Neodiprion lecontei: one gene and its partner. The protein of the gene in region 2 purifies or fractionates together with the protein of the main gene of each other region. This does not show direct contact. Links are inferred from orthologs where the notes say so. Each region holds a gene or a part of one and is shown on either strand. Other genes may lie near its edges.

What was found. Proteins that work in one complex are often made in the same cells at the same time.
Region 1: the proteins of ribosome biogenesis protein WDR12 homolog (region 2) and ribosome biogenesis protein BOP1 homolog purify together in Homo sapiens (affinity purification with western blotting; 6 studies listed by BioGRID and IntAct, with this or other methods). This does not show direct contact. The link is inferred for Neodiprion lecontei from reciprocal best matches to the Homo sapiens genes WDR12 and BOP1.

The regions. Positions count from the first base shown.
Region 1 is NC_060260.1:39,239,183-39,242,937, forward strand, and holds the start of ribosome biogenesis protein BOP1 homolog, read right to left. Parts: upstream 2,811-3,755; 5' UTR 2,602-2,810; coding exon 2,473-2,601; intron 2,296-2,472; coding exon 1,465-2,295; intron 1,372-1,464; coding exon 693-1,371; intron 589-692; coding exon 379-588; intron 293-378; coding exon 15-292; intron 1-14. UniProt on the Homo sapiens protein: Component of the PeBoW complex, which is required for maturation of 28S and 5.8S ribosomal RNAs and formation of the 60S ribosome.
Region 2 is NC_060264.1:3,893,062-3,896,816, reverse strand, and holds the start of ribosome biogenesis protein WDR12 homolog, read right to left. Parts: upstream 2,304-3,755; 5' UTR 2,174-2,303; coding exon 2,112-2,173; intron 1,918-2,111; coding exon 1,832-1,917; intron 1,746-1,831; coding exon 1,535-1,745; intron 1,419-1,534; coding exon 1,278-1,418; intron 1,173-1,277; coding exon 997-1,172; intron 857-996; coding exon 786-856; intron 670-785; coding exon 423-669; intron 328-422; coding exon 195-327; intron 97-194; coding exon 1-96. Other genes in the region: WD repeat-containing protein 75, read left to right, coding at 2,855-2,991, 3,064-3,265, 3,354-3,529.

The DNA of each region.
Region 1 (3,755 bases), on a different chromosome or scaffold from region 2:
ATGTGGCAACTTACCGCGACAAATAAAAATGGTCTAATGGGATGGAACAAAACACATTGTACTAGTCCCTTGGACTTGCTGAATGGCAATTGCGAACGCCTCTTTGACAACTGATTTATTAGAACAGATCTGTTCTGCCCATCGGGCATAACGGTGGCTAGATAGTCACCCCTCGCATGCCAAGTCACCTGCTTCACAACTTTAAAGTGATTCAATATTACTCTGATACCATTTCGCCAATTTTCACCTTCGGCCTGTTCCCACTGAACTGCCGTCCTTACCCTCTCATTCACTGAAATACAAGTAAAAAGAATTTAGTACATTGGAAAGTAGTTTCCTGGATTCAGTTACAGTCACATATGCTAACAAATTTATTACCTATTACATCGCTTTGAGGTATGATTTCTAGAAGCTGGTCCGTTTTGCTTGTGATTAAGTGGTCCCCTACTCCAGGGTTGATTAACAAAACTTTCTGATCTGCAGCAACGGCTATCAGCGAAATTGCTTGATTTGGACACCATGCAACACTTCTTATAATGCCTCCACAAGGAACGGTCTTCACACATCTACCAGTTGCAATTTCCCATACTGAAAACATGTTCACTCATTCATTAATTCGCAGTTTTAATTTTTTTCCTTAATCTTTAATTACAATCGACCTACAATGAAAAAGTTTCGACAAAACAACTCACTTTTAAGCGTCATATCATCTCCGCCAGAAGCGATATACTGGCCTTTAGCTTCGGCAGTGAAGGATCTTATCATGTCAGTGTGCCCCTTAAAGACCATTGACATAGTAGTGGGAAATGGTTGTAAATCTTGAGGACTAGGTAGCTGTGGAACCAAGCTGGCTGGGTCAATGGTAAGCCTCATTTTCAAAGCCCTTGGACAAAGATACAAGTCCAAACATCTCTGAAACCGCTCTTTGATATATCTTGAATAAGCCGGGACTTCACGAAGTGAATTAAACTTCTGTGGAATGAAGTGAAGCTTCCTTTTCCATGGCGTGGACTTCAGCTTATTCCATTCCTTCATTTCTTTTTTGTCAAAGAGATACTCTGGCGGAGGATTATAGCTCTCTGCGTGACCAGGCAAATGCCTCTTTGGCGCCGGTATGTGCTTGTGAATCCTCCGCATCTCCTCAGCCTGATCGTCTGACTGCCACAGCATGTAAAAATCTTTGTTTTCCTTGTTCTTCTGTTTTTCCTTCTCCATTTCGACTGTTGACTTTATCCAACCCATTTTCAGAGCATGAACTAGCTTGGAAACTTTCTTTGCTTCCGACTTTGAAGGCAAGAATGATCGTTTGTGCTCCGGAAATTTACGCAATGGCGTTTTCATCACTTCGGACGTGAACCACTCGACCCAAGGCTGTAAAAGTAATGGGAAAATAAAGTTTCAAAACAAATTTCAGAGATATGTTGAAAGTATTAAATAGAATCTGGTAAGGAACAAATAACTTACTGTGTACTCGTCAAATTGAGCATCAGGTATCTTTTGCTTCTGGATTCTTGTTATGAGCTCTATGTCAGCTTCGCTGAGTACTACATCTTGTCCCGTCATGGGGTCTTTCACAGTTCTCCAAAAATCTGGATCCTCCATTCTCTTCAAAAAGTTATCCAGCTGATCTCCTTTCTCTGGTTTTAAAATTTTTTTACCGTCCCAGTCGTACCCGATGTGAGGATACTCGTTGTACCATTGCAAGGGGATATTCCCAATGGTATTTCGAATATCTTCTTCATCCGAACTGTCTTGTTCATATTCGTCGACATTACTAGTCAGTTTTTCAACTGCTGGGTCGCTTGTATTGCGACCACTATTCACAATACTTGATTTATTCTGTTTTACACCATAATCCAAATTTTTCTCACTATGATCGCTTAGTTTTACCACTTTTTTATTCACATTTCTAGCTGGCTTGTTACTTCCATTGCTTTCCTTATTAGACTTTACCAAAGATTTGTTATTTGTTTTAGGCTGCCGAACTTCTTCCTCTGACTGCTCGTTTCCAGATTCTGAACTGAATTTGTCTTTGGAATTGACAGACCCGTCACTCTCTGCTTCCGAATCTTCTTCGTCCTCCTCTTCTTCATTCACAGAATCATCATCCTTCTCGTACTCTTCAGAGTCAGATTCAAATTCTAGTTCCTCATCATCGTTATCAGAGCCAAAAACAATTGGATCATTCTCAGTATCAGAATCGACAACATCATTATTTCCTTCGACTTCGTCGTCTGTGCTGTCATCGTCCTCGTCGAGTTGATCGGTGGCTAGAAAATCCTCCGATCCTAAATCCTGGATACACGGAGTGTTATGTAGTGTACAATAAATTGCCAAAGAGAACCAGTGATGACAATAGATTTTTGCGTTACGATTACTGCTTCAATTTTTTATTGAAGCTCAAAGCTGACCCAACTCAACCTAACCTAGGATGTTTAATACATATTTAAATGATTCGATTATCTGTCTTACCGAATTCTCGTCCAAGTCGTCATCGTCTTCAAGTTCTTCGACATTCTCTACCCTTTCTTCTTCTTTATTTGATTTGTTCGGAATGATTGGGTCCTGCTTTCGCTTACCTGCCTTTTTCGGGGCACCCATCACTAGGCAGTGGCAAGTTGGAAGACAGCCGCTTTGGACAACCGCGTTGTTTTTTGAGGTTAGGTAGGACACGTGTTTGGCTTTTGCACTTCGATAGTTCGACTTGCGATACGCAAACTTTCCGCAATCGATATCTCGATTTACATTTCAAACCAGCAGACGCACGGATGCAGATACTTTAAAGCACGCTAAAGTTTAAGCTCTCACCCTACTCATCTCTGCTCTCACTTTAGAGAGTTTCATAAGTATGCTACTAATTTTTTCAACTTCTGAGAAATTGTTAAAATTTCTGAATCAATCTCTGCAGAGTTTTGCGGAATCAAACAAGGATGATGTTACGGGGTAGAATGCGTAGGCTCCGATGAGCGGTAATCGGAGCTTACTCCACGCCCAGCCAAGGTGTTCTTTGGCTATTATAGGGTCCGTTCACATCGACTATGCACTCGCGTGCTACTACTCCCAATGCAGGAAGCGAATGGAATAGAAAGGGATCGGTATTAAGGGAAGGTAAACGATTATAAGTATATGATTGTTTATTAGTAGTCAATGCAACGGAGTCGGTCGAGGGAAAAAGGTATGGTCTTGGTTTAGAGGGATAGGTGTCTTGCTTGAGCGCTAGGATGGATCTGCCTTGTTTTGCGGGATGTAGGAGGCAAGCTAGCCGCGAGTTACAGAAGAATCTGCTGACTCGCGGACGATAAGAGTAGACTACAGAGCGTAAGGTAACTAAGAGTGTGGGAAAGGAATATGAAGTCTGGGGGACGTAACAAGGATATCCAATCTTAATTTATTCTTACAATGTATATTGTTTCTGTTATACAATATAATAATTGAAATGTGTTAAATTGGATGTACTTTAAAACGTCTACCGCTCGACAGGCTACTAATATATTTCTCGTGAAAATCTTCGGCAGGTAATTAGAGCTGTTTACAATAAGGCCGTAAATCCTGCGCCCGAGTTGTAAACATTAGTTTTTCATGCGGTGGGTGGAAAATGCCCCACGAGATTACATAGAACTATGGAGAGAAAAAAAAACGCTATTTCATAAAACCCAATAACATAAAAATGATATTGAAGCATAGAATTGGGTGTGAGAGGGGTCAAGGGGCAAAATTCCCGCCAGGAAGTTGGGGCTAGAGTCTTCCCACTGAAA
Region 2 (3,755 bases):
TCGGCCCCGCCAGATACCATGAATTTTGGATTGGACCAGTTGCAGCAGAGAACTTTGTCATCGTGTCCAGAAAGATCAAATAACGGTGCTTTGGGACTGTAAGAAGAATGGGAAAGGTAATATCGACACCACATAAAATGAAGTTCACGTTTATTAATCATGTCTAAGAATGTGTAGAGACTTTATGCACAAACCTTCGAGTATCCCAAAGCTTCACCTGGTTATCGTATGCTCCAGACAGAAAAAGGTATTGATCAGTCGTTGACCAGAAGACAGACTGCACCCATTGCGTGTGTGAAGTGAAAGTTCCCTTGACCACTGATCCCTCTGAAAAAAAAAAAAATATAATGCCAACGTTAGCAAACATCAACGATCATGAATATCCGAGTGATTTTACTACGTGGCATAGATTTCATCCTCACCTGACGATCTTGGGTCGTATAATCTGATATGCCTGTCGGCTGAGGCGGTGAGGAGAGCGTTAGCTAACGGCGAATATGCAACATCAAAGAAGCTCTTATTCCCTGGAATTTCATGCTTGATTCCACCAAGTTCTGTATCCCAAATTTTTAGCGTGTGATCCCATGACGACGTTACTATTTCAGATTTATCTGACCAGACTACACCACTAATTGCCTCTTTGTGGCCTTTCATCGTTATTTCTGGCGTCTGAAATTGCCCGAATTATATTGTTGATAAAAAAAAACTGGCCTGGTAAGTTTTACTGTATTTTTTATTCTCAATCATATAGTGAACATAATCAAATTTGCCATACAGATACTCACTCTAACTTTACCATGATCTGTTTTCAGCTTCTTTGAGGCAGACTCACCGTCATTGTTTCGATCGTCGACAGCTGTAAGAAAGAGTTTGATTTATGTGATTATTAATCGTATTAAAAAGATGTACAAGATCAGTTGCAAATATTGTTCAGTTCAAAGCCCTAAGTTAATTCATCAAATAACTCTCGTTCAGAATGCACCTCTTCGAACTTACAGGTGGACCAAATCTTCAGCATTGTATCCCATGATCCCGTGGCGATCAGTGTGGCATTATGATTGACTGCAATGTCTTCCAGCCCGCGTTCATGTCCACGACAAATTTGAACGCATTCTATTGAGTTACTTCTGATGTTCCAATCCCATAAAATGGCAGTTTGGTCTTGCGATGCACTGCAAGGAGCAAGAGATTAATGTGTTATTGTATTATATCTCATTAATTTATTGCAAGTAGATTTGTAGCGATAACATGAACGTTGTGTACTTCGCTTATAGTACCTAACAAACGTCGCCCTCTCATTGTCTAATGTTATCCAAGCCACTGCTTTAATGGGCGATGTGTGTCCTGGAATTGTGAGGTGATGTTTTCCTTTCGTATTCCAGATGTGCACGGTATTGTCGTAACATCCCGTCAGTATCCTGTAATTGGTGGAAAAAGTAGCAAATTACTACTGCTTTGTTATGTGTGAGTAAATTTCCCTAGCCAAAAAGTCTGTAATTTTGAAAACGTTGATGTAAAAATTGAAAACACTTGCCAGTTCTCTCTTACAGCAACTGCTGACACCCAGTCATCGTGTATGAGACAGTCTTGGGGTTCCGGAGGAGGATGCCGCTCCACATACTCGACTGAAACGACTTCCTCAGTCGTTACTCCACGCTCATTGATATGCTCGGCTAACGAGGTGCGCAGGAACTCATTGCAGACAAGAAAATCAAACTCTACAGTTGCAGTGGAGTCTGCAGATTCTGTATAACATTTGTTAATGAATCAGATTTGCAGTACAATATTTCTACAACAGATACGAGCTTTTCCAAAGTTCAGGAAATCTCACCTCTTAAAAGTTCATTGAGTATAGTATTCAGTTGATCAGTGAAAACTGTTGATGGCACAGACAATGGATAGTCTGGAACAGCGTACCTGAAAATCGAATTTGTGTAGATACAAAACAGTGAAATTTATATTGGCATTGTTTTAAAAGTATCAAATTTCTATATCCAGTTTACAAGAGTCTGCAGTACAGCCGACAGCCGTTTGTTCCACGTGTTTAGCTTTCACATCAAAAACCTGACTGAGCAAAACGTGTGTTCATACTCATATTTTTATATACTCACTGTTCTTGTTTCGTGGTGAAGCGTATTTGGATTTGCGGAACGTCGTCATCGACACTTGCCATCGCGACGGTATGCTATTGAAACTGTGAAATAACTGATGAAATGATTATTAAGTTAAAGCCGCTCCGTTCCTATTGTCAACCAACAATTTCGATCTAACTTAACCTTGTAACATACAACTATCATGTACAGAAAATGCGTAGGAGGAGTGAGGATACCCTCGTCACAGCTTGTCTCTCTCGCTCTACATTTGATTGGCAGATACGCTTCCTTTCAGCCAATCAGATGCGGAGTGAGAGAGACAGGCTATAACCAGTATGCCCGGGTATATACCTCGCTCTCTTATCACTTCGACTGCAATTTTCACGATGTGACGGCATGGGCGGCTACGTCCAGTAGTACGTATATGCTCTAAGAACCTAACCTATCTCAACTTAAAGCCGAAATTTTATTTCAGCGACAAGAAATTGCAGCGATGCGTTGGCGTATCAACCAATAACGGACTCGGATTTCTGTCAAACATCGATGTCGCCGTGGTGTAATTCCGGCCTAATCCAACCTAGCATTCCGGTTAACGTAGTTCGGCACGTGGTGAATTTTAAATAAGAATGTATGTAACAATTGTAGGATTAATGAAGGAACCGAATACTACGGGAGAAATTAAGAGATTACCGTTATTCAGTGTGAGAAACTTGCTTTAATCTAACCTTATACTCACAATCAGTGTAACGACAGTGTCAAACATGCGAATGAAGCGATCGACTGGGCCGAAATCGGGTACTCCGAAGAAAAAACCGCAGGAGGAAAATGACTTGACCGTGAAAAGGATCGGCGGCGGAAGCATAATCGATCACCGTCCGTTATTTTCCCATGATGGAGAGTAAGTCAAACATAAACCTATGCCTCTGATACTTTGATGGATGATTATCTAACCTCAAATTTAATTCTTTAGGTTATTATTTGTCGTTTGGAAGCATTCAATTAGAGCCTACAGCACTAGGACCGGAGATCTGGTCAGAGAATTTGAAGGAATTGAACACAAGATCGCAGGAATATCTTCGCACCCTGACAACAGAGATGTAGTTTTAGCTTGCTCAGACGTCGGTGAACTGATATATTGGAACTGCTACAAGGGTCTGATAATAAAAAAAACAGTATGTGTTCCAGAAAAATTCTCAATCAGTTTTTGTTCTCTTAATACCGGCTCATCATGGATTAACAATTTTCTGAAACAATTCGCAGAATCTTCAAGTTGATGATCGTGATGCAAAAATTAGGACATTTCATATTGTCAGATATCGGACAAGTGATGGAAGTAACGTTACCCAAGCGCTGGTCACCTATCTTATCGAAAGGAAAATTCATGTGAAATTGTTTGGTGTAGAGAACGGCAAAATCGCTCTACGAACTAAATTAGGGTACGCTATTTTACTTGAAACTTATCACTTTTTTTCTCTGCACTACATCATGTACATTGGAAATCAACCATGCTTGGGAGAGCAAAGAAAATTTATATTCTTTCATTTCAACCACAAGGAAAACAGAGTATCATACATATCCGTTGCACTAAAATCTCTTATTGCTAATGTAATAATTTAATTTGAAATATACATTTCTTCAGCATACCTCTCTGAATATCCAGAA